2 linked regions of the Diceros bicornis minor genome follow. The protein of the gene in region 1 binds, or shares a complex with, the protein of each later gene. Links are inferred from orthologs where the notes say so. Each region holds a gene or a part of one and is shown on either strand. Other genes may lie near its edges.

What was found.
Region 2: the proteins of FGF23 (region 1) and FGFR4 are in contact, whole or in part, in a cryo-EM structure (PDB 7YSW), measured with the Homo sapiens proteins. The link is inferred for Diceros bicornis minor from reciprocal best matches to the Homo sapiens genes FGF23 and FGFR4. Residues at the interface, in NP_065689.1 of Homo sapiens: Leu32, Gly33, Ser35, Trp36, Gly37, Tyr43, Ala45, Thr46, Ala47, Arg48, Asn49, Ser50, Ile75, Arg76, Ser77, Glu78, Asp79, Ala80, Gly81, Val83, Val84, Tyr93, His117, Gln118, Thr119, Asn122, Gly123, Tyr124, Asp125, Leu158; in NP_001341913.1 of Homo sapiens: Glu156, Lys157, Lys158, Leu159, His160, Ala161, Val162, Pro163, Asn166, Asp240, Leu242, Glu243, Arg244, Ser245, Pro246, Lys272, Val273, Tyr274, Ser275, Asp276, Ala277, Gln278, Pro279, His280, Ala308, Asp309, Ile310, Ser312, Gly336, Asn337.

What each region holds. Positions count from the first base shown.
Region 1 is NC_080756.1:57,132,241-57,148,391, forward strand, and holds the start of FGF23 (fibroblast growth factor 23), read left to right. Parts: upstream 1-10,008; coding exon 10,009-10,204; intron 10,205-15,269; coding exon 15,270-15,373; intron 15,374-16,151. UniProt on the Homo sapiens protein: Regulator of phosphate homeostasis. Inhibits renal tubular phosphate transport by reducing SLC34A1 levels. Up-regulates EGR1 expression in the presence of KL. Acts directly on the parathyroid to decrease PTH secretion. Regulator of vitamin-D metabolism.
Region 2 is NC_080740.1:90,305,019-90,321,193, reverse strand, and holds the start of FGFR4 (fibroblast growth factor receptor 4), read right to left. Parts: upstream 8,708-16,175; 5' UTR 8,618-8,707; intron 5,995-8,617; exon of another isoform or gene 5,940-5,994; intron 2,805-5,939; 5' UTR 2,752-2,804; coding exon 2,661-2,751; intron 2,020-2,660; coding exon 1,756-2,019; intron 1,665-1,755; coding exon 1,584-1,664; intron 1,451-1,583; coding exon 1,284-1,450; intron 475-1,283; coding exon 351-474; intron 1-350. UniProt on the Homo sapiens protein: Tyrosine-protein kinase that acts as a cell-surface receptor for fibroblast growth factors and plays a role in the regulation of cell proliferation, differentiation and migration, and in regulation of lipid metabolism, bile acid biosynthesis, glucose uptake, vitamin D metabolism and phosphate homeostasis.

The sequences.
Region 1 (16,151 bases):
TAATAATCTGCCTGGAACTGCGCAGCCCCTCACAGGTTCCAAGGCAGTGTCACACGCCTTGCCCATTTGTTCCCACAACCTTGGGAATAAGACTGAGCAGGACCCATTATCCCTACCTGACAGATGGGAGACCAGAGGACGTTGAGAATGAGTGTTCTAGCTTACTTGGTCAGGCCCCAACACTAGCTGTGGGGTGCAGCTGGGATTTGAACCCAGGTTTTATGTTTTTGGTTTTCATTCCAGGTTCTTTATTCTTCTATCGCATCAGCTAAGGGAGAAATTCATTCTTTTATTCACTAAATACTTATTAAGCACCTAAAATGTGCCAGGCATCAGAAATAACTCTGAAATAACAATAAGTCACCTGTGAGGAATTCTGGTTGTAGGTGAGAGCTGGGTAGGAACCGCCTGAGGCTATGGTAGGAGGTTGGGGTTGGAAAAACAACAAGAACAATAAACATGTACCATCTACCAAGCAGAGCTACGTGACCATGTAATATGAGATTAAGTATTATATATGCCATATTATTAAATTATGCCAACAATCTAATGAGGCAGGTACAATTATTATCTCCTTTTTTACGCATGAAGAAACTGAGGCTCAAAGAGGTGAAGTCATTTGACAAGGATGGCACACCTACCCTGGGGCATAGCTCGGTTTCTGGCCCAGATTGCCTAACTCAGGGCCTGAATTCAATTCAGGACTGTGTGAACTCTAAGCTACACTAAAGAAAAATGATTTGTGCCAGGGAGAGGGCTGCAGTGGGTGGGAGTAGAGGGAACTGCTGGAGGGGTGAGAAGGCTGAATTCTCGCCTCTCCCCATGGACACGCAGCTCCTCCCAGTCATGCTGCAGGAGCATCCTGTCCGCCCCACCCCCACATCTCAGCAACCATGACCTCCAGCAGGCCGAGGGGATGCCTGCCTCCGGAAGCCCCAACATCCTGCACTCTGCTGAACCCACGCGTGTCAGGCGGCCCGTCCCAGCTGCAGCACTCAGACGGCCTGACCTGACAGGCTGGGGCTGAATTACCGGCCCCTCAGCTAGAAATAACCCTCCGAGAAGTGTGTGGTGGCTACGTGTCCACAGGAAGGGGAGGAGGCAGGGCAGGGGAGCCAAGGAGTCCCAGGATCCCGAGATAACACGGGTCCGGATGTGCAGAGTCCCAACGTGGTGGGCCGGCCTGGGTCACAGGCTCCAAGGAGGTGAGTGGGAACCAGGATGTCTGCTCCCTGACGTGGGCTGCGTGACAAGCCCCAGGCATCCTGAGAGGGTGGGCTGGATTCCCATGGGCAGCCTTTGAGCACCAATCAGATCAGGCAGACTGTGTGTGCGTACACACATGCACGCACACACACGGCTCCTCTGCAGTCCAAAGTTTCTATTGTTCCTTCCCTGGGCAGATTCCAGCTTTAGAAGCACCACTGTCTTCCCTCTGGTTCTGCTCAAAGTTGCAGAGTAGGATGACAGGAGAACACAGCAGCCTGGCAAGGCCCTGCAGGCAGAGTCACCGAGGGCTCTAGACCTTGCTCCGTCTTCCCTCACCTAGAAAGGTACAAATATCTTCTAGCTGAATCCCTCTATTCTACAAAGAACAGAGTGAGAATCATAAAGGTGAAGATGAGCTTGCCAAAGGCGGACTCCTGCTTCCAAGGTCTGCTCTTCCCACTGCGCGATATGAGTTGGTAAGGGTAAGATCTGGGCCAGAGACAAAACCTTTGCTGTAGGCATGAAGAGAAGTTCATGTCCCTGAGGTGGGGGAAAGGGAAACTGTGGGAAGCCAAACCTTCCCATCCCCGGGGCCAGTGCTAGGACTACGGAGGCAAGGATGCCTCTGTTTGCGAAATCCTCATCCAAAGCCCGAATGCCATTTCCTCTGTCTCCACAGCACCCCCTTTCCAAGGGCACACAAAGCCACCACACACTTCTCCACAGCACCCTGTATTCCAAGTGGCACAAATGAGACGTGAGATCCTTGCGCAAAGCAGATGAAAAGAATCACCCACTAGACACGAGGCAGGCTCAGGATCCAGGGGCCTGATTCCCTCCCAATGAATTTATCCCAGTGAGTAAAGGTAAGCGTGGTGTGGAGGAAGGTACTCTCGCTGAGGGTCAGAAGCCTGATTCTAATACTAAGCTCTGCCACTAACATGGCCATGTGACCTTGGGCAAGTCACCCCTGGGCCTCAATTTCCCTCCCTGTAAAAACAGGCTGTAGTGAGGATCTCCAAGGTTCCCAACCTCCAACTATGAGATTCTATGCTTTTATGACCCACACCCAAAGGAAAGTGGGGGGAAGAAGAGACCCTTTGATTGCCTTGGTTGGAAGGAATTAGTAGGGGGAGGAAGGGGAAGAAAATGATAGGGAAAGGGAATGGATTCAGAATTAACGAATCTTCCAAGCTCAGAAAGCTCCAGGTGAGGTTCTGATTCAGAAAGGCACAAAGAGGAGACTTGGGGGGGTGCACCGGGGGGAAAGCTGGGGAACTCAGTCACCTTAGCAAGGACTTCTCTCCATGAACTCTGGCAGCCAAGGGAGGCTTGATCTCATACTGACTTGTAGGAATAATGGCTTGGGGGAAGTGCCTCTCCATGTGGGCCATTTCTGTGAGGGGCAAGTGAGATAACCATTATGAAAGCATTTTGAAAAGTTAAGAAGCCTTATTTAAATATAACAAAAATATTTTTTTTTTCTTGGAGGGTAAAGAGTGAAGAGAAAGAAAAAGGAGTCGAGGAGACCCCTGAAAGTGTGAATATGTGTAGGGTTTGGGGAGGGGGACACAAATTGACCAGCCTTACACTGAGAATTCTTGATTCAAAAGCTGTGTCTCCCATGCTCCCCCCACCCCAAGTCTGACCCAACTCTGGCTTTGCTCTGAGTGGAACAAAACCCTGCTCTTATCACCCACAGTGAAGCTTCTGTGAGGTCACGCACACAGGCCTGGCCTCCCTACCTGGGACACACGTCTTCTCTCCCACAGGTGTAGAGGTGGAGGCCAGGAGAGGGCTTCTGGGATGAAGGGGTGTCAGCGGGGAAAAGGACCGGTGAGGAGTTGAGAGGGAAGGAAAGGAACTCCTGGCTGCAGCTGTTGACCGATCACTTGGACTTCTCCTTTGCCCTCTGCTCTCAGGCTCGTCCAGGACCTTCAGTTGACCAAGGTGCCCAGCACAGACATCTGCAAGGCTTTAACCCCTCTGTCCTGCAAAATAAGCTTCTTATTACGGCACCAAAGGCGAAACAGTGGTGGCATGGGTTCTGTGATATGACAGAAGTCATTTGTATTGCATTTTGGAATGTATAATGAGGGTGCTATTTATACATTTAGATTTACTTTTGAGTAAATCTGTTGGGCTGAGACTGATATTAGAGTGACCTATAATATTAAATTATAAAATATATATAATCATATATATGATATTAAGTGCTAGATTAAAGGCATCTGCCTCCCTTGAGTTAATCCAGTGTGGACATTATTAAGCAAGGCAGGAGGAGAGAAGCAAGTCCATCAGCAGAGAATTGGAACGCTTCCTGTCACCATCCACAGGCGGGTAATTCCCAGGTTACCAGGTCTAGCATAGCAGGTGATAAAGCAGACAATTTAGGGGCACTGGAAGACAAGACAGTGTCCTACCCCCAGAGAAACTCCCAGACGGGAATACCTGGGAGAAACCTTAGAGATGATTTCATCCACACATCCCACCTCCCCAGTTTGCAGCTGGGGAAACAGGTGCCGAGAGGAAGTGACGTGTCTAAGCTTGAACACACAGATTTTAAAAAAATGAGTTCCATTTTTGACAGGGAAGTGGATACATGTGACAGGGAAGGGTGAGAGATTTGCTTGTGTCTTATTTTAAAGAAATGAAAAGTGACTAGCTCTACATAGTGAAATATATGCTGGTTTAGCACATTTCCTTTATCTAATCCTGGAATGAATTGTTCCAGGTGGTGACTAGATTTTGACACCTGTTGAGGCAAATGCTATTGCTGAGTTTTACTTTCCTGTTTTTTAATAGACTTTATTTTTTAAAGCAGTTGTAAGTTCACGAAAGAATTAAGCAAAAATCACAGAGAGTTCTCATATACCCTCCTCTCCCCGCCATGCACACAATTTCCCCTATCATCAACATCTTGCATTAGGATGGCATATTTGTTACAACTGATGAACCAATATTGACACATGATTATTAACTAAAGTCCACAGTTTACATTAGGGTTCATCCTTTGTGTTGTATAGTCCTGTGGGTTTTGACAAACGCATAATGGCATGTATCCACTATTAGAGTATCGTACAGAATCGTTTCACTTCCCTAAAAATCCCCTGCGCTGCAGTTCTTTGCTTTATGTGTCCTCCGAGTCCCCAGCACTCCTCATTGTGCAGTGTCTCAGCTGTGATGGAGCGAGAAAGTGCCTGGATTGTATGTGTTCAGCTCTGGGCCCTGACAGCTCGCATTTGACAGTAAAGCATTTGCTCTTGAGGGATGCTCTTGGTCATACTAAGTCCTGAGGCTTTCTTGCTTCTTCTCATTTCCAGCCCATCTTTCTTCAGCGTTCTGGCATCAGCTTCTTTTCGGCCACTGTCCCTCAGATCTCTCTTCTAATGTTCTTCAGAATTCTTATACTCAGTGTGGTCGTTTTATTCTCTGGAAAAACTTTCAACTTCTAAGCAAACCAACACTCGGATATGTATAGTTTTAATTAAATACTCTCAAACAGTTTTTATTCTTATTTTAAAAAAAAACCTTTTATGCTCTGTATTAAGTTTAAAATAGGTGGCAAAGTTTCATGTTACATATTTGAAAATCGAGGCTTATTTTCAAAAGGTCGAAGTAAATAGCACTCGGATGCCTAGTCTTCTCATCAACAGTCATTACTGACCTATCAGTGTGAATATTTACAAACTTACCAGATCACTGGAAGCTTGGGGTTCATCAGCAGGAGGGGCAGGGGTGAACCTTGGAGAAGCACCTCGACATTTTATATGGATTTGAACTCCTTTCCAGGCCTCGATGTTCCACTCCGCTTGAGTTCCAGGAACCCTCACCCAGAGTGTTGAAGGGCCTGCCCTGGAGATGAGGCCTCCCACGAGCCTTTATTTTGGAAAGGCTACCATGATGAGAATAAGCTGGAAAGTTTATCTTGGGCAGGAGAAATGGAAACATCTCATTTGGAGGGAAAGAAGGGAAGAGGAGGAGATTGACCCCACGGGAGGTATCGGGTCTAGACTTCCTAGTCCACCTCCCAGGACTGTTTTGAGCATCAAATGAGACACTAGGTGTGAATGTGCATTGTAGGTTGTGAAGGGCTGGGCAAATCCACACTAAATTCTGCCCTGTACATTGTAAACACTTGGAAGACCAGGACTGTACTTTTTCATTCTTAGGCTTCTCTAAAGATTTTCTACAAAGTACTAGCCATAAAAATAGGCTTTCTCTAAATAGTTACATGTTGATTGAGTGGATATATTAGAACAAGAAAGAATCTGATTGCATATAAGGAAGCACATTTTAACTGAGTTAAATAAATTAAATACTGCATGGTAATATTTAATTTATTAATAAATTTATAATTAAGAAATAAATTTATTAATAAATTAATAATCATATTACCAGCTTCTGGTAAGACGCCGCAACCCACCAGGCTCAAACTTCCAGTTATCTGGTAAGTTTATGAATATTGACACGGATAGGTCGGTAATGACTGTTGATGAGAAGGCTAGGCATTTTACTGCTATTTACTTCACCCTTTTTAAAATAAGCCTCGATTCTCAAATGTGTAACACGAAACGTTGCCACCTGTTTTACACTTCACACAGAGCATAAAAGGTTTTTTTTTTTAATAAGAATAGCAAATGTTTGAGAGTATTTAATTACTGAGAATATTTAACTGAGAATAAGATATGGGAGTGGCATTTTCAGGAAGACTGTAGCACCTCCCAGATAACTTTGAAAAGAGAGGAAACAATCATTTGTCCTGGATGGCTTAGACACCCACCTGCCTGAACCTAGGGACCGGATGAGCCAGATGACGGTGAAACCGTTGTGGAAATGACGGAGACAAAGCATGACGAGGTCGCAATAGGGAGCAGAGGCCTGCCAGGTCCTACCATCTGCAGACGGAGCCTTCACACAGAGCCTCAAGAAGAAAAGGAAACCGTGAGCCACCCTAAGATCACCTCCCTGCTCCCGGTGCTCTTTCACCCTGATGCCTCCAACATGTTTTCATCACAGCCTCACAGCAGTCAAGACACGTTATATTTTGAAAATTGTTGAAAAGTCTTCACATGGAGAGAATGTGATCTGGGGAGATAATCCTTAGTACCTTCCCAGAGAGGACTGTGAGAGAAAGAAGTCAGAGGATAAGGGAAAGGAATGGGATTGTGGGAATATAGATTCCTATAGCCTCCATCCCATATTTAAAGCCTTGATTCTGTGGTTGTAAATGCAGGGACTGGACCAGAGGCCCCTACGCAGCCCCCCAGGGCAAATTTTCCTGAAGCCGGAGCAGTGGCTTGTGGGGCAGGCTGGAGAAGAGCAGGTGTCCCCACCTGCCACCTCCCAGGCAGCCACCAGGGCCCCAAGGCCAGCGATATTGAAAACCACAAACCACCAGCCTCCTCCCCGGGCTTCCTGCTCCCGTCAGTGTTTCATATTTGGCTCCTAAGGTCACACTAGCTCCCAGATCCTCCGACCTGAACTGTGACAGATGAATGCCCTCTAGATGCAAAGAACAGAAACCAACTTACCCTGGGCCCTCCCTTCCCTCACCATCTGATGCTTCTGAGAGATGCCACACCCACCAGGCTCAAGGATCAAAGGCACAGTGTACTGATTTGGTGTTCAGTACTAAAATTTCCTGGAAAGGACCGTTCACATCTTACCCTGCCCAGTTAGGCTGGAAATCCCAGAAGGGAGTGGCAAATGGAGAAGCGGCCTTGGTTTCTGTGTACTAATTCCAGTGCATGGTTGGGATGCAAAGTCTGTTTCTTGACAAGTACTTTAGCGTCATTAACATCTAGTGTGGGGGATTAGACTCTCCCAGGTAGATTTGAAAAAAAGTGCAAATAACTGGGCTTCACCTCTGCATGTTCAGTAGGTCTAAGATTAGTCCTGGGGTAGTTTCTGTGGTTCTAACGGGCAGCCAGCTTTGGAACCCTCAGGTAGGGAGTTCAACCAGGAGCTGGAAATTCTGCTGTCTGCATGCTGACAGGCAAATCCTCGTCTCTGCTCTCAATTTCCTATATCTCAGGTGGAAAGAATTATTCTAGTAGTGTTGTACCTTCTTTTACTCTCGTCAAGTGGGGAATGCTTCTCTCCTCCCCCATTCCCTTCATAAATAAACCTGCTCCCCTGGGCTGTCCTCTGCTTCAGATTCGGCTGCTAGGCATTCAGGGCTTCTTCCTGGAGGGAAGTCTTTGGAAGCGGAATAAGCTGGCACATCAGTTCTCTTTCCTAACAAGACAAGCTGAAGAGGCCAGGGACGGTCCCCCTCAATCAGCCCAGGAATGGAACGATGCCCATGCCCTCCTCCCAAGACACCTGCACTCCCGCCCCAGCGTGCCTTGGGGTGCTGGGAAACGCCCTGCCTGTCCATCCTACAAGGCTCCCTCGAGTCTCTCTTCCCTCCAAGCCCTCCTTAACCACAGTGTCCACCCACCGAAAACTCCCCCTTTTCTGAACGCCCTTAGCATTTCTTACACATCTAGTAATTCAGCTCCTCTCACAAGCGCCTTATATTGAACCAAGTTTTTCTCCGCTCAATTGTATTATAACCCCCTTGAGGATAAGTTTGTTCTGCTTTTTATTCCTATAACTCCCTCTTCCCTTCTCTCTTGCTCGGAGAAGTTTCTCAATACGTGCTGATTGTTTCACAAGTACTTCCCACCTCTACCACTCGAAACCAGAAGAGGAAATGTAGGGGTATCAATTGGCAAATGTTCCTGAATGATTTGCATTTCAATTCTGAAAGCTGGCTATTTCTTCGTTAGCTAAGATGTGGTACTATATTTATGAACCATACTGTGACCATTATGAAAGAAGACTGTCTTATACATAAGCATTTAAATGTCCTAAATCTTCTACCTAACCGGGGGAGACAACACTCTGTATCTTAGAGACACATCCTGGTTTTACTAGAGAAAAACCAAAGAGTACTATTGGTTTGTCAATGGCCCCGCTGCTCCTTGCACTCTCTTACCAGGCTCCTGGCTCTCGCGGCTTCGGCCCTAACACGCTGTGTGGGTTTATACATCCAGCGGTGCTTAGGAGCTCTGGAGTCGGGCTGCCCAGCTTCAGGCCCGACCTCTTCTGCATAGTGGCTGCACACCTGTGGGCACGTTACTTAAACTGTGGACACCAGTTTCCTCGTCTCTGTAAAGGAAACAGCAGCACCTCCTCACAGGGCTGTTATGAAGATTAAATGAGTTACTACAAGTAAACCACCTGGTAAGCTCTCAGTAAATGTTAGTTGTCACTGTGATTATTATTGCAGAAGACCTTGTCCTAGCTCTCCCATTTATTTGCTGCGTGACTTTGGACATACAAACCCCAAGATCTCCATTTCTTCATGTATAAGATTAAAATATTGATAATGCCTGGTGTGCCTATCTCACAGAGTTGCAGTGAGATTCAAATGAGCTAATATATGTGAAAATGCTTCATAAACTAGAAAAACTCGTACAAATGTAGGATAACAAATGGCACTTCTTTTTGCCTGCACCTGTGTGATCGCACATCCCAGTGTGCTTTGTATGACGGTTACTTATTTTAATCTGCCTCCTCCATTAGCTTGTGAGCTCCTTGAAGCAATGATCACATCTTGCTCCCCCTTCTCTCAACCATGATGCCTGATGCCTGCACATGGTATGTACTCAGCAAATGGGAAATGGGTAGAGTAGCAGTCTCCGTGTGCATATACGTTTCCAGTATGTGTTCCAGTAGTTTGCTCCCCGTTGGACTGCATGTGCTAGGACTATCCCCCTACATCAGAAGTAGCTTCCCAGAGGGCATACCTGTGAGCAGCATCTGCAAGAAAGCATCCAGGCCCAGGAGCCAGGCACCCAGTAGACACTAACTGTGGGGACATCCTGGCCTGCTGCTCTGCTCCTGGGACCTTCCTGGTCTCTGATCCCCTGTGCTCCGTCAGCAGCCTTCCAATCTTCATGAGGTCTCTGAATGAGTCTCCATAGTATTGGAGAGACAATAAGAGCAGTTTACTCTCCCTAGACAGTCCAAATTAGGGAAACTGAGAAATCAAATCCCAGCATTTCATAAAGCAGCAGTGACTTCAAGACCTTGTTTTCTTTCCTCCCATTTTGAAATCTTCCCAAGGAGGCAACGTTGGTTTTTGTGCCTCTGCTCACAGCTTCCATATCTTTATGAGGAGGCAGTCTTGGAGGATGCCATTTGCCTGATGGTGTCCTGTATTATTTCAGTATCCTTCAAAACACCCACCTAGTGCTGTGTACAGAGAGAGCACTGGATACATAGTCCCCGATTGGAATTAAAAGGACTGAGAAAACCAAAATGAGTAGACTCAATAGGAGATTAATTGCATAGAAGTCAGTTGACTGCATAGCTGAAGCTGGATTTTTTTCGGAACCGCTGACTGCCTTCACATTTCCTGGTGGAAGTTGGGACAGGTCAACAGACAATCCAGAGTCCGAGATAACTTTTGCCCACACATCATTCACTTTTTGGAGCGTTGGCTTGAAATTGAGGGGTGTGTGTGTGTCTGGAACCGACGTGCCTTCCGTGAGCCTCAGAGGTCTCTGCACTCTCTCCAAATGGGCTGATTACAACACAGAGGATGTGGACAGTGGAGTTTTTCCTGTTTGATGTCACACGGCTACCCTTTAAAAGTCCAAGGGGAAAAAGGAGGGAATCCAGCCTAGGATCCTCACGCCAGATATCCACAAGGAAGAAGAGGAGAAAAGGCCAGCAAGGCACAGCCTTGAGTGGAGGAGGCAGTGTCAGGTTTCAAACTCCGTGCCAGCCATTCAGAGAGTGGCGATGTCGGGGGCCTGCCTTGGGCTCTTAGTCTGCATCCTGTGCTCTGTAGTGAGAGCCTATCCCAACGCCTCCCCGCTGCTCAGCTCCAGCTGGGCTGGCCTGATCCACCTGTACACGGCCACAGCCAGGAACAGCTACCACCTGCAGATCCACAAGGACGGCCATGTGGATGGCACACCCCAGCAGACCATCTACAGTGAGTAGGGGCTTCATTCAGGCTGGGAAGAAGGGGGAGCTCCTCTGTCCATCCAGCTACAATGGACTTGGGGCTGCCTTGGGCTGGACCAGAAGACTAATCCAGTTTCTTGCCCAGGATCCACTTATGTATGTGTGTGTGTGTGTGTGTGTGTGTGTGTGTGTGTGTATTTTTACACCTTGGGAGAAGATTCTGCCACATCCCTAATTAGTGTTTACTGGTTTCTCCCAACATGAATAATTTCTATCTTAACAAAAATCCCTCTTCCCACACTAGCAGCCACTTTCTCTTTGTCCTGTCCAAAGAGTCAAAAAATGTACAGAAAGAAAGGCAAAGAGGCTGAGAGGAAAAGAAGCCAGGTAGATCAATAGACATCCCGTTTTAGCTCATGAACTTTGGACTGGGTTAGCAATGGAGGTTGTAAAGAAGATTCCTGTATCAGACCAAGGGTTAGAATAGATGAACTCAGGGGCTCTTTCCAACTCTGAGCTTCTAGTATTCTAGCCTTATAAAAATTCTCAGGAAAAATGTACTAAAGACAGACTGTTCAGGTATATTGTCTTGATGAGCCTGACCAAGTGCATGAATCATCCATGCACTCATCTGTCCATGCATCCATGCATCCTTCCATCCAACAGGTTTACTGGGGGCTTCAGAAGTACCCAGTTTGGTATGAGTTGGTGATTCATCTCTGTGGAGCTGAAAGTTCCACTCGGTAGCAAATTGAGCTAGTTGGGAACACCTTGGCAACATGAGACAACTGGAATGTTTTCAAGATTAGGTTTGTGGAAAGTTGGATCACAATCCACAATAATCAATCAATTAGCTATGATTCAAATGAGGGCCCCTTGGTGTGCACCTATATAAGGGATAATGAGGTGGGCGGGGGGAGAGATATTGAAAAAGACAAGGTCTTCTATTTTAGGAAAACATCTAAAAATCACTCTAAGGATAAGAAAAATGCAAACTGATTCAATATAGATCAAATTAAAGTAATGAAAGAGTAACCATAGTCTTTTAATTAAAGAAAACTTCTTATAGGAATAATGATTTGCTCTTTATTGTTGTACTGAATTAATCAGCAATTTTGCTGTGGCCTTTCTGTGTAAGGCATTCATTCTGCTAAGAATCAAAGGTCCTTAAACCTGGTGGCAAGATATATGCACATGCAAAGCCAAGAGTTCACACCCGTCCGGGTGCTCAATGGATGGTCATAGGAGATGAGAGGAGGGAGAAAAGGTATTTCCAAATACCAAGTGGGTTCCAGAACTCAAAGGGATATACTAGGATTCTAGAGTCAACATCTTGGAAGCCAAGTTCGAGTCATTAGCAATAAGTCTGGATACATTCGATGCATCCAAAGTGTTGCTCCTTTTATTCCATCGATATTTAACAGAACCTCCAATATGTCTGACATTGTGCAAAGCTCTGTGACTGCACAAGAAGACACAGCCCTTCAGACACCTCACGATCTTTCATCCCTTCTTGTCTCCCAGCTTATTATCAGACTTTTAGGAAATATAATTTTGCACCTCGCCTGGAGGGCCACTCTTGCTTCCACTGCAAGATGATAGGTGATTTAAAATGCGGGATAGTGGATTGTGGTAAATTATTGTGATTCCCATAGATGGAAAGGGCTTCATACAACTAAAGAATGCTTATAATACTTGTCTAGAATCATGGAATCCCTTCACTGAAAGGAACCCTCCAAAGACATGTCCTCCTGAACAAGACAAAGAGCACAGCAGTGCAACCTGCTGTGTGGGCTGTGAGTGGTACTGATTTGTAGAACTTTGCTCTCAAATATCCACCGGCGTCGGGCCCAGAGGAGGCACTAAGGACTAGTTGGACTGAATTAAAATGACTGAGAAGAAGCAAAATGAATTGAACTGATTTCAGAATTTTTTTTTTTTACAGAAATGTGATTTTGTTTTGTCAGGTATAGACACTAGCTAAGCATTGTGTCTCTGGAAATTAACACAAACATGGGGAGGGGAACGCAGGTCAGCGTGGTGGGAAGGAGACACTTCCTAGTTTATAACACCTTTTGTACTATTCAAATCAGTTATCATGTGTATTACCAAAAAAAAATTTATACACTAAGATAAAAAGTTACCAAAAAAGGAAAGAGGAAACACTGATGCGTATAGATGGGTGGCACAAGTATTTAACAGACTGGTGAAAGATTCTCCCCAAGGAATGTAAAACAATGCATTTACACTGATGGAAAGATGTGGGGTGATTTTTCCCCCTTAATTAATTATAAGTTTCCAGTGAAATCTGGTTCACTTGATTATGGTGCTTTAGTAAATTCCTGATTAATCATCTTTGGGTTTTGTGAAATTATCTGCCTACAAGATTCCAGGACCTCTCTTGGGACTGGCAGCGCTGATGTCATGGAGCCGCTCCAGTGTCTATGTCAGCTGCCCACTATGAATGAGGCCGCCCTCCCACGCCCTGTCATTCTCACCTTGTGGAAACGGCAGAAAGGAGATGCTTATTACCCCTGGTTAATACACTTCCTAGATCCTGATGTTTTTACTTCCTCGACCTTCCCCACTGGCACTTTCTTTACTTGAAGCTGAATTATCCTCGGGCTCTTTCTTTTGGGGAGCTCAAAGCACTTTATATCTATCATCTTATTTATCATTTACTGGCTATGAGAATAGAAAGGGGCAGATAAATTTCTACTTTTATAGCAGAGGTTGAGGCGAAATAGCAACAGTAGACATTTCTAGCATTTAGAAAGTGCTTTTATAGTGGATAAAAATATTATCTCATTACATCCTCAAGACAACCAAAGGAGGTAAATGATTCTACTACACATGAGAAAACAAAGGTTCAAGAAGGTAAATAACTGGCTCAAGGTCACATAGTTAGTAAATGACCTAGAGGACACCTTGACCCCAATCCCATGCTTCTTATAGGCTCACATGCACAGACACCTGCTGTCACTCAAGGAAATGTCTGCTGAGCCTGCCTGGCTCCAACAGGTTGTGGCTCCAGGAACCAGTGATCTGTGCCTTCCTTCTGCCGTTGAATCTGTGCAGACTGTGCAAACCTGCCTTCTGAAACTGCAAAGAGAAGAAAATCCGTCTCTTATTTTCTGAACTTTCACATTGGCTCATGTTGGTTTAATTTATGTGTGCGTCCTCCATAGCAGCTGCTCGCTGTCTCTCTGCAGGCTGTTTTCTATTGGGACTGGCCCTGGTGACCAGGAGCATGTGTACTAAGCACACTGCCCACACTGACTCAGGCATCAGGCCAGCATGACTGCCAAGATCTGGGCTTGTCACAAACAGCAGGTCAGCACATACTATATAATGCCCTCCACTTGCTCCATGCTTTCATGTCACTTTTACAACCCTCATCCCGTTCGATTCGAATCGTAACCCTGTAAAGTACGCAAGACGGCTTCTACTGTTCTCTCTTCACAGCTGAGGAAACTGAGCAACGACTTGCCCACAGCTACAAACTCAGTGAGGGACATAATTGGGACCAGAATCCAAGTACCCTGGGTCCTGGTTCAGCGCCCCTTCCCTGACCCACTTGGGGGCACACAACTTGGGGTTCTTGTGGTCTGCAGGCATGAATTGTGGCACTTAGTTTTGTCTTCTCACGCCTGTAATGATTTCTGTGGGAGGCAGGCTACAGGGTCGTAGGAAGAGGATGTTAGAGTCACTGACCTGACTTTGAATCCTGCCTTAGTTTCCTTGTGACTTAAATTAGGATGCTGTGACTACTAGCATTAATACTAATTATATTAACATCAGAACAGTTGCTTCGACAATTTAAAATATGTACGTAGAGTGCAACCACTCAAAAACAGTTACTAAGTGTAGTGTTTTCCCCAATTAGATTGAAAATTCATCAGCACAGAAACTCTTTCTTACGTGTTCCTTACACTTCTCTCAGGGCTTACCATAAAATTAGCCACAAATTTGAGACACATAGGCAGACCCCATTTTGTGATAATTTAAATATCCTCTGTACCTCCCATATCCCCCTCCACTTCCAGAAGCTTCCCTCAAGGCTAACCCTCAGCCAAACTTGGAAACAAATTTAGTTTTCTCTTTGGCCCTCTTCTTGCCTCTTCTTTCTGGCCTTGCTCCCCTGCTCACTCTCTCTGTCCCACATCAATCCAATTTCAGTCCACATCAGGCTCTATACTCAGCTAGTGTCTAAGCACGGCCTGCTACTCTCCTCCGAGGTCTTTGTATTGAGCCTACATGGGGTAGGGGAGGAGAGTTCAGCTGTAAATCACCCACGAGGCACAGATGATGGGCATTTACAACCTTCTGCACACAGAAGAGCATTTCAAACCCCTGCCTGGGCTACCTCCCTGGGGGCTGTGAGGCCAAGTGAGATGCATGTGGAAATACTGTGGTGTGTAATAGAGGTGTAGGCATTATGCTGAGCAAGCTGAGAAGAAAGAACAAGTAATTCTGATTAGGGAGATCAGGAAAGTCTTCATAGATATGGTGACTTCTGAGCCTGGCCCTGGAGGATGGGTGACTTCAACAAGCAGACAAGGGAGGGTAATATCTATTCTAATGCAGTTCTTGACACCTAGTGGGTGTTAACTGACACGTGGCAGACTATTACCCAGCTACTCGGGTGGAGAATCACACTCTATATGCAAGCCGGATCTTTGAAAGACATCTTGGCATAGACTTAAAAATCACAAAAGCAGAAGGCTTGGAAGAATGTGACCACCACCACAAACATTAAGAGGTATTAGCCAGGCAAAGGGGAAAGTAAATTCAGTCCAGGCAGAGAGAGAAACGTGTACAGCACAGGTGAAAGAATGCCGTGAGTTCAGAGTGCTCCGTGCAGGCAGGAGGATGACACAGGACGCAAATGTGGGGGAGTAGGGGGTTGGAAAGGGGGGGACAGCCAGAAGAAATGAGGCTGAATAAGGAAGTACAAGGGGAGGGCTAAGTGAAATCATCACCACGGTTAACAATCAGTCAAGGTAGGTTTCACGAAGATGCGTTTTCAGGAAGTGCTTGAACAAGGAAACTGGATGTGTAGCGAGATTTGACCTGACTGATTTTCTCCGTAGGTGCCCTGATGATCAGATCAGAGGATGCTGGCTTTGTGGTGATAACCGGTGTGATGAGCAGGAGATACCTCTGTATGGACTTCAGAGGAAACATTTTTGGATCAGTGAGTTTCTTTCTGTGCTGGTCACCACTGGCAAATAATTAACTTCTCTGACAGAAAATAGAATGTTATAACCTAAAGGTTCCATTTGCAGTGTTCCTTGGTGATGTTCTCACTGAGCGCTTTATTCAGTCTAAGGACTAAGTGCTCAGGTTCATACAGCTGGGGGTTGAGCCAGGCAGTCTGGTTCTGCAGCCCACGCTCTCAGCCCCAGTCTGCACCACCTGTTGGTGCCCGCTTTTGTCTCTAGCGCAGCACCAGGTCCTCCAGCCACGCAAATTCACGCTGTCAAGTGCAGCGGGAAGCAGGAGAAGCCGCTGGGCCTTCCTGATTCTGTGCTAGACTGCCCCGACCTCGGGGAGGTGCCCTCGCTTCTCCAAACGTCAGCATCCTCACCTGGAAAAGTCAAGTGGCATGGACCACATGCCCAGGGGAGCTCCCTCCGGTTGAAGATCTCTAATTAATGATCTCTGCCCCAACCGTGATGGCTGGTCATTCAGATTGGGAAGCAAAGGATTTCCCAAATGGCAGGTTGCAGGCATATTCCAAAGGATTTTGAGATAGTAAAATAGTAGGACTGCTTATCTCAGGAGCCTCCTACCAGACAGGCCCCCTAGAAATTCCATGAGAGCAACGGCTCTCTGTTCTGCTTATTGCTGTGTCCCAGCACCTGTAACGGTAGATACATACCTGTTGAACAAATATAGACCATCAGTCAATCAGTCATCAATATCTGTTAACCACATATAGGCATATAGATAGTCCTCATCTGTAAAATACT
Region 2 (16,175 bases), on another chromosome or scaffold:
AAGAACAACTTCTCAGCCTAGCATTCAAAATCCTCCATGGCCTAGCTCCCCACTTAAAAGGCACACTCAGGCATACACCTCCCCACACACACACGGCATTCCTTACACCCAGGGCCTTCACTCAGCCTGTCCTCTCTCCCTTGATGTCTTTCCCACTTTTCCTCTTGGCCCACTCCTGCTCCTGCAGGCCCACCTTAGCCCCTATGCTTCCCTCGGACCCACCTGGACACTCTGAGCAGCTTGAGTGAGTCATCCAAGACTCAGTCCATGTTGCCTGCCAGACTAGGCCCCACCTGAAGGCAGGGACAGGGCTCCCACCCCGATGGCGCCTCGCCTACCCATCCGCTCACCCAGCACGTCCAGCAGATAGCTGTAGCGGATGTTGCCCATAGAGTTCTCCACGAGGCAGGTGTACGTGCCACGGTCCGAGGGCACCACGCTTTCCATCACCAGGCTCCAGTGCTGGTGGCGCAGCTGGGGGCAGGGGAAGTGTCCATAAGGGGCAACCAACCCATGCCCACCCAGGGGCCCAGGGCATGAGGAGGCCAGATCCTGCCCACGAGGCTCTTCTCAAGCTCTCTAGGCCCTGGGAGGCCAGGCCAAGGCCAGGACTTTGGGACAAAGGAGAAGGCTCCAAGAAGTGTCTGAGCCCTGGGTCTGAGTCTCTGAGTTTTAGCTCGACCTCTTCCTAGCTGTCCCACCTCGAGCCAGTCTTTGCCCTCTTGGAGTCTCAGCATCCTCACCACGGCCTGGAGCTCACCCTGCAGGGTCTCATGAGGATGAACTGCTAGAATTATTAATTGATACCTGCCGATCAGTGATCCTGCCCACTTTACAGATGGAGTTTCTTTTTTTTTTTTAAAGATTTTATTTATTTATTTTTTCCCCCCAAAGCCCCAGTAGATAGTTGTGTGTCATAGCTGCACATCCTTCTAGTTGCTGTATGTGGGACGCGGCCTCAGCATGGCCAGAGAAGCAGCGCGTCGGTGCCAGCCCGGGATCCGAACCCGGGTCGCCAGCAGTGGAGCGCACTCACTTAACCACTAAGCCACGGGGCCGGCCCACAGATGGAGTTTCTTAGGCTGAGAAGTTAAATCACTTGCGGGAGAGTGGCAGACAGAGTGGGAACATGAACCAGAGCTGTCCAAGTCCACAGTCTAGTGCTCCTTCTGGGCCCCTGCAGCTGCCTTCCTCATTAGAGAAAGAGCTGTGGGTTTGATTTGGGCGGACCAATGACGGAGTGAAAATGGAGGAGCTGATGGTCTTGGAACCCAGAGACTCACCCGAATGCCTCCAATGCGATGTTCCCCGTGGAAGTCCTGTCCATCCTTGAGCCAGCGGATGGTGGGCGTGGGGTTGCCTGCAGCTGGGCAGCGGAACTTGACGGTGTTCCCAGCAGGCACTGCATGAAGTTTCTTCTCCATGCGTTGAGGGTGTGTCCAGTACGGTGCTGGAGGGAAGGGGAAGGGAGAACCTAGTGCCCCAGGATGACCACCTGCTTCAATCCTGCTTCCACATAGGTTTCTTCTTCTCAGTGACCAGCTGGGAGGTAGGGAAATGAGTCCCTGAGGACTAATACTGACCTTGCTGGGGGTACACGTGCCCATTCGAGGGGCCCCTGTGGGCCTTGGGGTCCTCATCACCATTGCTGGAGGTCAGGGAGTCTATGTCAGGGACAGAGGGAGGCGTCTGAGGTCCAGGATGGGGAGGGTCTCTCTCCCCAGGCAATCCTTAGCCCCTGCTAGATCCCCTTACCATCCACAACCAAGGTGACGTTGTGCAGGACAAGCATGGAGCCTCGTGCCAGGCAGAGGTAGTGGCCAGCATCCTCCAGTAGGGAGCTGGCGATCTCCAAGCGGCCCCTCCAGCCTCGTACTCGGCCGGCAGGTGCCAGGCGACTGCCCTCCTTGTACCAGTGGCCACTACGCTCAGCCCGCCCACAGCATAACCGTACAGGCTGCCCAAGGGCCACAGTCAGCTCCTGCTCTTGCTGCTCTGGGCTGGGGGCCAGGCAGGGCTCTGTGGACCAAGGGCAGAGGTCAGTGAGCCCCACAGCCTCTCCTGAGGCAGCCCCCTGCATACGGAGAACATGCGGCACACACGGGGCACAAGCACCTCATGACACATGCTGGACACCTGCAGCTCCTCAACACACACACAACCACATGCTACAGACGCTAGGTGCAGAGCAAATGCCACGCCTCTGGTGCACATCACACACAGTGCGGAGCACACATGCTGGACTGGACATGCCACTGCCTGAGACACACACACACAGCACACGCCATAGGTGCCACACACAGGGCACATGCCACACCTCCGGCCACATCATACTCACAGTGTATACACCGCCTATGCTGCCTGGGCCTCCCAAGCCACACGCTCAGTGCACAGCACGCACACACACACACGGCCAAGGGGCTCACCACACCAGCTCTGCAGCCCAGCTCAGGGCCTTGCGCCCTGCAAGGCCAGTCCTCTCTTGTGGACACAGAGACAAGTGGATGCTTGCTGGGAGCCAGACACTAAGTCTCAATGGTTGGGTCCTGCCCTGCTGCCACCTCCCCAGGGCCTGGGCCAGGATCCTCCCAGCTTTGCTCAGCCAGCAGCCCCCTCCAGGTGCCTACCCCTGCCACCCTCTCCCACCTTAGCGGCCATACCCAGCTCCATTTCCTCAGAGGCCTCAAGGGACAAAGCTGGAGCCCTGGGCACCCCAAGCAGGACTCCCAACAGGGTCAACAGCAGCCGCATCTCCTTCCTGCTGCTCCCGGGGACCCAGGCTGGGCTTCCCACCGACTGCCTTCCTGAAACGGAGGGAGAAGAGCTCCTGCGTGTGTGCACTTTCGCTGGCACTACCCCCTATTCCTGCAGATGAGGAAACTGAGACATGAAATGGTGGGCCGACTTGTCCAAGCCCCCTGCCGGCCAGCGGCAGAGCAGAGACGGGAACCAGCTCTGCTGTTGCCGAGCCCAAGGCCTCCCCACAGTAGGTCGTGCAGGGGGGCTGGGCTGGGCTTCCTGCTCTCCTCCTGTCCTGCTGAGACCCTGGCACAAGTTCACAGAAAGGGCAGTTTTGGGATTCTTTCCTTGGAGGGAAGCAGAGAATGGAGACATATCTTCTGCTCGCTTTCAGCACACATAATTTATTTTTTGCTGAATAAATGAATTTATTGCTAAAGAGCCTCCCCCCTGCCAATCTGAAATATAATACAAGGCCAAACTTCAGCATCTGGCTGTTCTCTGATCTGACCCCCACTCCTTCTAGCATTGCTGACATTCCCCTGACCCACTTTGGCTATCTCCAGTGGCACAGTGCTCACTACTAACAAGGCAGGACATCCTATGGCAAGCAGGAAGTTCTTCCTGATTCTAAACCAGAATTGCATCCTGGGGATACCTCTGCTTTACCTCCCCCATATCTCCATCTGAGGCAACACACACCGTGGTAAAGAATGTAGACTCGAGTGTCTGATAGAGCCAAGTTCAAAACCTGACTTTTATCAACTTGCAAGTCCCTGCCCCTCTCTGGGCTGCTGTCCTCAGAACAGCTCTGAGGATAAGAGATATTGAAGGCAGGGGCTGGGCACACAGAATGTTGAACTATTCTCCCCCTCCTCATGACTGTCACCCTGGATCTGCCCACGGCCAGTCACCTCCGGTTCTGGCGCTGAAGTACACACCCACCCCATCCTGTTACCCTCCTCCACATGCCACCAATGATGAAGCCATCCCCCAAAAGGAACACTCAAAACTGAGCCTCAGCTGGGGCAGGGGAGGATAGGTGACCAGTGTAGTCCCGGCGCCCACTGGCTGTTACCTGGGGCTGGCTGTCAGGTGACACTGGTGTCTCTGGATCTACCTTGACCAGGAAGCCCATCACACCCTCCCTTCTCAGCCACTGCCCCCTCCCCTTCCCACCTCCCTCCAAAACACATTCAGCTCTGGCTCTGAGGCAGGGGGCACTTAGCTTGTCCAGGCCAAAGCCATTATCTCCCCTTCAAGTTGCTCCTTCAGTGGGTTTTCCTGGAAGCTGGGGCATCATCTCTGTCTATGCCCTCTCCTCTCCCCTCCCCTCCTTCCAGTCCATTCTGCCTCCTCAATCCCTTTCCAATCCATCCTACCTCCCCTGCCTGTACCCAGGGCAGGCCATGGTCATCTCTAGCTTGGGCCTTTGCAAACATCTCCTTGGGCTCTTCAGCCTCTGGTCTCCAGCAAGGTTTTAAAGATTACAAGTATGCCATGTCACCCCCTCCCCCAGCTTACAAGCCCCTAATGGCTGCCTGTATCCAGCAGGATCCAGTCCACACTGTTTATCATGCATCCTAGGCTCCCTGCCTGCCCTTGTCAATGTCTTTGGTCACACAGTCTGCCCCTTCAGCCTCTTGAATACCGAACCATTGCCTTTCAAAACTGGGCACATCTTCTCTTGCCTATTCCTCTGTGGTCTCCATTTCTCTTCTTCACCTGGCTGGCTGCCACCATCTCTGCACCCACCCCCAGTTTCCATGGCCCCTCCTCTGTAAACCAGCGCCCCCTCCCCCACCCGAGCTCTGCTCTGCAGGGAGGTCGTCTCTCTGGGTCCACAGCTGCGGCTGGGAGTGGGGTGGAGGGGCCCGAGGATTTTATTCCCACCCCCAGGCTGTCCTGACCTCAGAACCTCAGGGCCCTTAGTCGGGTCACAGTCGGCCGATGACCGGCCGACTGCCCTGCACGTGGGGCCGAAGGGCCTCACTCTGGCATCAGGCAGCCTGGATTCTCCTCCAGCCTCCCGCAGTCAGGGGCAGGGGGACCCTGGGCCCATGACTGCACCTCTCGGAGCCTCATCTTCCTCATCTCTACTCGGGGCGCACAGAAGGTCCAGCAGCCGAGGGACCAGCGCGCTCTCCTCCTCCACCCCTACCCGGCCACTCTGGGGGGAGGTGAGAGTCCGCAGTTCCGAGGGGGCGCTGCAGAGACAGACGGCCCGCCCCCGCCCCGGTGGGCAATGAGTAACCAGCTCCGCGGCCAGGGTGCTCTTTGGACGGAGCGGGACAAAAGGCCCTGTGTGCACTGCGGGTTACTGATTTACCGTCCCCCCAACCCCCGCCAAGCGGACGCCCAGGTCCCCAGTGCTGGGAGGGGGCAGCTCCAGGAACCCAGCCGCCGCTCGCCCCCTGGCGGCTGGGAGCGCAGCCTGGGCCGCATGGGGTCCCGGTCACCTCGATCCTCCGCGGCTCAGCTCCCGGCACAGGGTCCTCGCTCACCTGGGTCCTCCGCGGCCCCGCTGCCAGCTCCCGCCAGCCCCGACCCCGCGCCCAGCGGGGACCGCACTCAGCCCGGGCGTCCCTCCGCCCCGGGCCGCAAAGCCAGGAATGCACCCGCGACAGCGGCGTGGCCGGGGGGCCAGCGCCCCGCCCACCTCGGGCCCCGCCCCGCCCGGACCAGCTCTATCCTGACCGCGGCGTGCTGGCGGGTGGCACCGCGTCCCGCCCACCTGAAGACCCGTCCCGGAGCCAGACAGCGGAGAGCGGCAGATCGGGTCAGCCCAGTCCCGGGCCCGGGCCCAGCCTGCCGCACACCCCCTCAGACTCCGCCTCTCCTGCCCCGCCCCGGCCAGGCTCCCAAGTTCTAGTCCATCGCTCTGTCTCCTGCTCTTCACCCCTTGGGGAACGAGACCCAGCAGTCCTAACCCGCCCGCCCCCGCAGACCTCTGCCCAGCCTCGCTGCTCTGCCTTCTGCGCAATCGCGGGACAGTGGCTAGCAGACCCCCTCTGCCCTCATCCTTGTCCGTCCTCTGCACACCTTCCGATTGGTATTTTAAATACAAACCCGACTGTACCAACCACAACCTCCCCTCTAAAACCTTCCAACAGCTTCCTATAAAGATTCTTGACGTGACCTGGCCCTGCCCACATCTCCAGACGAGTCCTTCATTCACTTCTTCCTTGCTCCCACCCTACCTCTGGGCCTTTGCGCGCGTGGTGCCTGCTTCCTGGAATGCTCTTTCTCCTCTAGGTCTGGCTAGCTTCGTTTCGTTCTTAGGTCTCAGCTCGCTTCCTCGGAGAAGCCTTCTGGACTTGCCACCGTCTTCCTTTTCTTTTTTTCGTGAGGAAGATCAGCCCTGAGCTAACATCTGATGCCAATCCTCCTCTCTTTTTTGCTGAGGCAGATTGGCCCTGGGCTAACCTTGTGCCCATCTTCCTCTATTTTATATGGGACGCTGCCATGCGTGGCTTGACAAGCCTATGTGGGGCGCGCCGGGATCAGAAGCTGCGAACCCTGGGCCGCCGCAGCGGAGTGGGCACTTCACCGCTGCGCCACCGGGCTGGCCCCACACGTTCCTCTTTGGTGGCTTCTCTTCGGCGAGCATGGAGAAAGAAGCTGGGAGGGAGGTGGTTCAGATCACACATCGCAGGACTCCGATCTCGCACCATCACAAGTGGCTTTGGGACGTTACTCCATCTCTGTGTCTTCCTCTTCTCGGCAGTGAAACAGGTGTGATGATAGTATCCTCAAGAAGTGGTAGCAGGGGCCAGCCCAGTGGCGTAGTGGTTAAGTTTGCACCCTCCGCTTCCGTGGCCTGGGGTTTGCTGGTTTGGAACCTCGGGCACCGCTCATCAAGCCATGCTGTGGCGGCATCCCACAACCAAAATAGAGGAAGACTGGCACAGATGTTAGCTCAGGAACAATCTTCCTCACACACACACACACACACACACACACACACACACAAAATGGTCGCAAAAAGTAGACATGTTGGTATGTGTAAGCCTGTTGTTCTAAAACACTGCTTGACATATAGCACTTGCTTTGCAGTGTTAGCCGTGATTATTTAGGACCCATTATTTCTTCATGACACGTTCCAGAATTGTAACTAAAGAGTTAATTCTGTAAACAGAAGGCAGGAACTCCCTGCAGACCCCACCATTGTGTCTCAAGTGCCTGGCACACAGTGGGTGGGCCGGAATCGCTCTGTCCCACATGGCTCAGGTCTGCCTCACCTGGAAGCACTTGAGCATCTTGACAGTGGCCAAACAGGAGGCCAGCCAACCATTGACTTCTGCACAACCCTCACCTCAAGTCCCAGCCCTCTACTCCTCTGAAGGTTCCTTGAGGAGAAAGGAAACCCCTCCCCTGGGGTCTCAGGCTCCCCTTCCCACATAGCCCTCTGGCTGGTGGAGACTCTGCCCTGGGGGAAGCAGCTTCCGTTCCCATTGTTATGAGGAGAGGTCTCCGCTTTCTCCACTCTTACTCCCAATGGGATAGAGGATTTTCCTTTGTATGACTAAAAGGCGCATTAAAGTGATTTTCTTTTCCTTCTCAAACTAAAGAATGGCCTCCTCCCAAAGATAAATCAGACAATTGGCTAACTTTTAAGAACAGCTTGTCCTGATTCCCCTCATCCAGGGTCCTTCCTCACTGGAGCACTCGGGCAGGCTGAGGCTCCTGGCACTGGAGATGCGCAGCAAATGGGAGCCTCCTGCCCAGAGGGGCCTCGCCAGGCTTCCTGGACTCCTGGAGAGACTCAGCTCCCTGCCTCTGGTCCCTGCTGGCTCCCTTTAGTGAATGTGGTTGTTGGGGGTGGGTGAGCTGCCAGCAGGAGCTGGACCCTACACAGCTTTCATTCAACTTCCAGGCGCTTTCCCAGTTCGCCTGAGCCAAAGGCAGAGTAGAGGCTTTCATAGCCCAGGTCGTGCAACCTCCCTGCCCCCTGAGACACACAAGACCCTTAGACTGGCAACCTCACCCCTCCACCCCACATCCCCTGTTCAGCCCCCCTCCCACACTCACGGCCTCTCACACTGACCCTCTGCAGAGCCTGACGCTCTGTCACAGAGTCATTCATTCACTCCTTCACTCGTCTACTGTTTATTGAGGGTTCAATATGTGGGATGCACTGTTCTAAATCCTGGGGATAAAGCAGTGATCAGACCCAGCCTCCACCCTTCCAGGAGCTGCTGGCATTGTGGGGAGAGGTAGATAAGTAAGCAGAACCCAGAAGGAGGCATGCCAAGGCTGTCTGGGAGAGGAATCCTAGCCCGTCTGCCCGTCACAGGCTCACTCTTTGGTTAACAATCTTTCACCAGTTGCATTTACAGTCTCTCTCTCAAAGACTTTCACACACACACACACACACACACACACACACACACACCCCTAGCAGGGGTTCAGAAGCCTGCCATTCTAAGATCCTGCCTTTAGCCTGCCTCTGCCTCAGTTTCTCCATCCAGAAAATGGGCACACTCCTGCCCCCTTTTCCCCAGGGGTGTTGGAAGAAGTGAATGAGTTAAGAGGTGGGAATGGGTTTCACCAGAACAGGAAGTAGGGAAGAAGTCCTTGCTTTGACTGAGCTCCCCTGTATACCAGGCATCATACAAGGTCAGGCAGTATATGGGCATTAAGTCCTTTGATCTTCCCGTCAGCCAAATGAGGGTAGGAGTCCTTAGCTCTGTTTTGCAGGTGAGGAAACAGAAGCTCAGGCAAATGGAATGACTTGTCTGAATTCACATAGCAAGTGAACAGAACTGAGATTGAACCCTAATCATTTGGGACAAAGAGAGAGAGCTCAGGGTGACTGTCCACAGAGCTGAGACTGTGGATGCTAACACATCGGCCCACTTTTTGCCCCCATCCTTACCTGTGACCCTGGAAGGTGGAGATTCACCTGAAGGGGAGGGTGTGTGGAGGCTGCGGCTGGGTATTGCTCTCCCTGCCCATTTGCAGTACTGATGGGGCACCTATGAAGCACCAGGCCCGAGGCTCCTGGAATGCCAGGCCGGGCCAGGAGGGGTTCCTGAGGCCATGCCCCGCCCCTCACCTGCCTGGGAGCAGAGTTGGGGGGAGGGGGCCGACGTTGCCTGGTGCCTACTGTATTGCTCTTGGATGGCAGCCGGGCCCTGGAACAGTGCAGCTCTTGTGCGGAAGGGCTGCCCTGAGCCCCTGCCCGGCCCCGCTCCAGCCCCAGCCCGGCCCCAGCCTCTGACCCAGTCCTGCGCTTTCTTGTCTTCTCTCCTTCATTTCTTTCTTTTAAAACAATTTGTATTTTCAGAAAGTTTTGAAATATAGAAAAAGTTACCCAGGGTAATAGCATACAGTGGCTACTCAGAATTGACAGTTGTTATTACTTTACCATTTTTTCCAACCCTTTTCTATCCTGGCTTCTCCCACAGGCTCCGGGGGGGCCTGGCCTGGCTCATTAAAATTGAGGTGACGTTGACAGCAACTGAGTGGTGAAATATTGGGTGTTAGAGGCAGATAGATGTGGGTTTGAATCCTGAAAACTTTGTAACCTTGGACAAGTCACTTAACTTTAAGCTTCAGTTTCATTTTCTATAAAATGGGAATGATGGCTCTTCTGTGAGGACTCAGTGTGGTGCTGCATATAAAGCTTAATGCACACAGCCATGTTCAGTAAAGAGTGGCAGATATTCATATTAACAACGATGGTCCAGGGTGGGACCCACCTGAAGGTATGGGAAACTCACTCCTGTGACCAAGAGGGAAGAATGTGAGGGTCACCCTCTCCAGCCCTCAAATCTCCGCATTCCCCACCCCTTGGGCACATCTATGTCGAATTTCTACTCTGGAGACAACAAAGCCATGAATTGCAGGCTGCCCAGGGCATTGTGGTGGAGGCCGGGAGCCTGGCGTTGATGTCGGCAGCCTGGGAGAGCTCTTGGGGAGGCCCCTCAGAACAAGCCAGATGGAGGGGAATGGGCTAGGAGGGATCTGAGGCTCTCTCTGGGCTAGTCCTGGTGCTACCCAGCATCTCAGCAGCTCCCCTGGTCCCCTTGTTCCCTGGTCCCAGATACTGTGGGCCCATGTCCTGGCTTATTTGGACAGGGAGTGTCTGGGGCTTTCATGGTTTGCCAGACTCAGCTCTCTCTAGACTTGGGCCTACAAACCTCACATCCCCTGGATCTTGGCATGCACATTTGTTTGGAGGAGGGAGGGGGCCAGGACACCTGGGAAGTGGCAGAGGCTGGGCAGGAAGTGCTAGAGGGTTTGTGGTCTGAAGGGAATCAGGAAACAAGCCCCAGAGGGGCCCTCACCCTTCTCTATCTTGCCTAATGCTCACCTGGACCACATAGGATTTTGTTTGGGCACAAATAACAAGGGCTTAAACAAAACAGGGGTTTATTCATCCCTCACTTAGCCCCAAGTCTGGAGGTGGGTGAAAGTGGGTCTGAAGTCAGAGTTGCAGTCTCTTCAATTCTCTAGACTTTTCCCTCATGGTTTCAAGTTGGTGGCTTCAGCTCCTGCCATCACATTTGTGCTCATGCAGGAGGAAGAAAGAAGCCACAAAAGGGTTGAATCTGCACCCAGCAACTTCTGATTTTATTTATCTCCTTGGCCAGACTGTGACACATGGCCAGGAAGCATGTTTATTCTGCTGGACGCATTGCCTCCCCTAACAAAACCAGGGCTTTAATAGAGTAAAAAGAAGGATTGATTGACTGTGGGGCAGGCACCCAACAGTCTCTGCGTCACCAAGCTCATCAGCAGCCCCAATGGCTTCTTTAAATCACAGACCTAACCGAGTCAACCCTCAGCTTTGACTACTCTCTTCTCACCACCCACGGGCATCCCCAGCTCCTCAGAGCGGCACTCAGGGCCCCTGGCCTCTGCTGCTCTCTCCCGGGCCGTCTCCCCTCTCGCCAGAGACACGTGCTCTGTTTCCGGCTGCACTGAGCTCCAGCAGGCCCTCCTGAGCATGCCCAATGTTCACAGCTCTGTGCCTTTGCCCTTGCTGCTTTTGCTGCTGCCAGTGCCTCTCTGGCTCCCTCCAGCCATCCCCCCAGGTGCCTGCCATTCCTTTTTCTGGACTCCTCTCATGCATTCCTTCTTCTCTGAGACCCTCCCTGACCACCATGAACTGGACATCTAAACCCTCTTCCTCTCTCTGGAAACAGCCCCTCAATTTTCTTTGAGGTCCTGGCTCTCTCCTACTCCCAGTCCGCTGGGGTTTTGGGTGGAGCCAACACTTCTCCCTGGCTCCTATGGTGGGCATGTGCCCCTGGACTTGGCTAATGAGAAGATTCCATCCCCCAGGCTATTGTGATTGGGTCAGAGATGAACATGTGACCCAAGCAGGGCCAACGAGAGCCAGTCTGGGCCTTTTATTGGAACTAGTGGGAAACTAACATGCTCAGAGGTTACTGAGGTATGACTATGGAAGCCTAGAACTACTTGAGACAGCCTGCCTGTGAATGAAGCCAACACAGGAAACAAGAGGGCCAGGAGATGCAGCATGCCTGGATCCAGCCATGCCTGAGGCCAAAATTACCTCTTTGAACATTTCATTTATATGAGTGAAATAATTTTTTTCTTAAGCTAATCTGACCTTTTTTTTTTAACTCTATAGATGAAAGGCTCCTAAAAAGTGTCCTCCCCAGTAGAAATTACCCCGTCCTCCTCTGTGTCTCTACTATCCTCTGTCGGCTCCTAGGCCATAGTATTCATCTGTTTACATGTCAGCAAATTCATCATGTCATTGCTCTTATTTGTTTAAAAGCTTTCAATGCCTTCCCATTGCTTTTAGGATAAAAACTTGTATTAGTTATCTGTTACTGCATAACAAACTACCCCAAAACTTAATGGCTTAAAGTAACAAATATTTGGCCAGCTGTTGGCAGGAGACCTCCATTGCCTTTCACATGAGCCTCTGCACAGGGCTGCTTGAGTGTCCTCATGATATGTGGGCTGGTGCCCCTCAGAGCTGGTGAGCCAAGAGGAGACTGACATTGTGCTGTCTTGCACAAGTTCCTCTCAGAAGTCACACTCAATCATTTTCACCTTCTTCTAATTGTCAGGAGTGAGTCACTAATTACAGCCCTCATGGGGGCAGGGAATGGGGTAGGGGGAGAGGAGATGAAACTTGACTTCTTGAAGAGAGGAATATAAAAAATTTTGCAGACATATTTTAGAACCACCACAAGACGAGCTCTTACCCTGGCATTTGTCATCTGAACCCTTTTCTAGGTTTGGGAATATCCCCATTTTATGTGGCAGAGTTCACCTCTCATGACAGAAGCCGAAAATGCTAGCTACTCCTCCAATCTCTCTTCCAGCTAAGGCTCAGTTCTGCGAAATCATGGCATCCATTCCAGAAAACCAAAGATGCCCAGGAGTTGGGCTAGGGAGGCCCAGGAGGAATGTTCCCTGGTGGGGCCATGGTAACAGGACTGAGCTCTTGGGCATGGGGCACTGGGAGCCTGTCCAGTCTCCAGGCTGGCTGGGCTAGTGGTACAGGCAGTAGTGTCCAGTGCTTAGTGTTGGTGGAGACAAAGGTGTCCTTTCTGCACCCGTTCTGTGATGTGATACAGGGGGATGCTGGTCGTGTACCCCGACCCTAGTTCTTTAGTCCTCTTGGTAGTTCCGTGAACTTAAACAAGCTGGAGTTTGTTTCTGTTGCTTTTTGCTGAAAATCTTGATGTGTCCTGAGGAACTTGGCTCCTGCCAGTCTCTCTCCTTACTTGGTGACACACTATCCCTCCTTCCAGGTGAAAAGCATCTTCTTGCCTCAGGGCCTTGGCACATGCTGTTCCCTCTACCTGGAACATCTCCCTTCACCTCTCTCCCCTCACCCACCGGCTAACTTGTATTCATCCTCCAAATCTCAGTTTGAGTCACTTCCTCAGGGGAACTTTCCTGCCCCACTCCCAGCCTTAGGCTCAGTCTTCCTATTATATGCAGCACTTTATCACAATTGTAATGAGTCATTTGTACCCATGAGGTCCTCCAGGACAAAGATTGTCTCTCATTCCAGGGCCCTGACATACAGTAGGGGCTGAGGAAAAATAAATTCCCTTTCCCACATTCTTTAAGGACCTCTGTCTTACCCTAACAACTCTCTGACAGGGACTGCTCAGCCCTTATCAAACTCTCTGACCCTCAAGGAACATTTTCATTCATTTGCAACTCACAGATATCCCAACTCAAATGGGCTTAAGCAAGATAGTGAATTTATTGGGTTATACAATTTTAAAGTCCAAGAGTGGATTTGGCTTCAGGAACAGCTAGATCAAGACCAATTCTCTCTTCTGCTTTCTTCCCTATGGCTCTATTCTGTGGCAGATGCTCCCCAAGAGGTGACAAAGAAGGCTGTCAACAGCTCTGGGCTCAAGATCTTCCCATTTAGCAACTCCTTCCCCATAGTTCTAGCAGAAGCCAGGAAGGTAGAGGTCATCCCCACCCAGACCACATAAGCTGAGGGTGGGGGTCCTCAAGGTAATCCTATTACAGGAAGAAAGGTAAATAGATACCAGGAGGCCAAAACAAGATATGGTTACTATACTTGGTGATTCCGGGAGCCTTTATTGAATAATAAGCCATCCCCGAATGTAGTGATTTAAAACACTTTGTTATTGCTCATGATTCTGTGGATTAGCTGGGGTCAGCTCAGCAGTTCTGCTGGTCTCTCCTGAGGTCACTTATGCTGGTGGCTCCACTGTGCTGGAGGGTCTAAGATGGCCTCCTTCACATGTATGGAGCTAGCTGCTGGCCTTTCTCTCCGCGTGGTCTCTCACCTCCACGTGTTCTGGCCCAGACTTCCTTTCACAAGCGGCAAGAGTGGAAGCTGCAAGGTCTGAGTCCTACCTAGCCTTGGGCATTGCACAATGTCACATCACTGCATTCTCTCATCAAAGCAAGTCTCAAGGCCAGTCCAGATTCAAGGGGTTGGGAAATGGACTCCCCATCTTGATGGCTGGAGTGACAAAGTCACACTGCAAAGGGGCACAGACACAGGGAGGTGAAGACTCATGAGAGGCCATTATTGAAATTATTGAGGCCATTATGATCTACTGCACCCCACAACCCCTCACTAACTCTCCTCCCACCCCAGTGACCTGGTTCCTTTGACCTAGATAACCACTAAAGGCTCAGGTCCTTCAAGAAATCTTTCTGTGAAATCCCACCAATGGTCTCTACTAGCCTATACCCACCTTTATTCATTTATCCATTAATTTACTCAATCCCAAGCAGTTACTAAAACAATCACAGTCCTATGCTGGGCACCAGGGACTCAGTATGATGAATAAGACTCAGTTCCTGCCCTCAAAGAGTTTCTAATCTAAAAGAGGAGACAGGGAATTAAACAGATCATAACACAGAACATTCAGGGCAATGCTGGAGGGGCACAGGGCATCTGGGAGCATGGAAGGGCAGCCACTTCAGCCTCGGGGTCAGCGATCTTCTCAGGATGAGTGCAGGGCTCCAGGTTGATAAGGGGAGGTGGAGCATGTATTAGGCAGAACTTTTGGTTGTAAGTGATAGAAACCCAACTTAAACTGACTTAAGGAAAAAGGGAATTTGTTAACTCAAAACTAAAAAGTCCTGAGAGTATTAGCTTCAGCATGGTTGGATCCAGGTGCTCATCAGAAATCAGTCTTTTCTCATCTCTCAGCTCGGTTTTCCTCTGTGTTGCCTTAATTCTCAGGCAGATTGTCCCTATGTTTTAGCAAAGTTAGCTACTAACAGCTCCAGACTTATGATTCTGATTGCCCAGGCCTGGGTCACAGGTTCACCCCTGGAGCCAGGGGGAGGGGTCAGTCTCTCAGAACCACAGGGTCTAAAAATGGAGCAGAGATGTTACCCAAGGGAAAAGAGTAAAAGAAAGGCTGATGAACAGGCCAGACATCAGGTGTGCTCCCAGACAGGTGACTAAAGCAGCCCTCAAACAGAAGTGTTCTCCTGAAGGGGGAGCCCACCTTTGGAAGTAGAGATAGCAGGTGTGCTAAGACTTGGGAGCATGTGAGTCGAATCTCTCCTGGCTACTTCTTGGTTGCGTAAGCTCTGCGCGACTTTGTCTCTGAGTTTCTCCTGTGAACTGAGCCTTTTCAAGTTGTCTTGAGGGCTAAATGAAATATCAAATATAGGGCTCAGGAAGTCATCCTATTCATTCGGGCATCAAATCAAACAGTAGGGTCCCAGAGCTGGTTTATTTTGCCTAGCAAAAAAGGAGCGTCCTCCACCTAGTGGCTAGAGGGGTTATTGCACTAGAGTTGACCCACTTAGAGAACCATAAGGTTTCTTGCGCATTTTGAAGCTCCTGGACAGATGCAGCAGCATTGGTGGAGGACAGCGAGCCTGGGAGTGCCAGAGCAGGGACGAGGCTGCTTTCTCTGCAATGTGGGCTTGGCACAGGGTAGAATAGGTGTGGCTGTTAGATAGCCAGATGGTCAGAGGGAGAAGTTTTCCTACTGTATTTGACACTAGTGACTGCCAATCAGAAGGTCTGGTTAGGGGTGCGCAGTTCATCTGGCAGGGGCTGCCGTGAGAGAAGGGCTTTCTTCTCAACCTTCTTTGGGAAGAACTCCTAACTGCCCATCACCACCTCTTCAGGACTCTGGCTGGGAACAGTGATTTTTTCCAACTTCTACTTCACAGAAAATATCAAGGCCTCAGGTCACATGAAGCTGGTGACAGGGCTCAGACCAACGCCCAGGGACCCTGAATTCCAGGCCAGTGTTCCCCATGACATGCCTCACAGCTGCTATATGGATACATACACAGCTCTGTGTCTGCATTGAGGGGCTGTTACATCCCAACACTTGCTTTGCATCCAGCCCTGCGCTAAGAGCTTTACTGCATGATTCCATTTCGTCTTCTCCTCAGGTGTCATTGGCTGCAGACAATAAGGTTCCCTAGCAGAGGTTCCCTAGCAGTGGAAGGTGACTTCTTGCTGGAGCCCAGGGAAGAACCACCTTGGCCAGCATGTTGCCTCCCCTCTTCCCCCTCCATCAGATTGATTTATGTTTCTAGCATTTTATAACTCACTGAGTGTTAATACAGGGGGCTGTGCCAGAATCCTCTGCTGTGGACTCACCTCCCCAGGGAGACCCAGAGCTTACTTCAGGCTGATAACAGAAACAACAGCAGTCACCATTTACATAGCATCTCTCACGTATCAGGCACTGTAATTGTGTCATATGTTATCTATTCTTTTAATTCCCAAAATAACCCTGTAAGGTAGGTACTAATGCTTCACCCTGAGGCACAGGTCAACTAACTAAGATCACACAGCCTAGCAATGGCAGAGCTGGGATCTGCCCTGGCTGCCCAATTCAGAGCCTGAGTTCTACACCAGACTGCCTCTCCAGGGCTGACGCCTCTCCCTCCATGAGACCTTCCTTGGCCACCAGAGCCACAGGCAGGCGCTCCCCCTGGTGTTTACCTGCTGGATTGTGTATTAT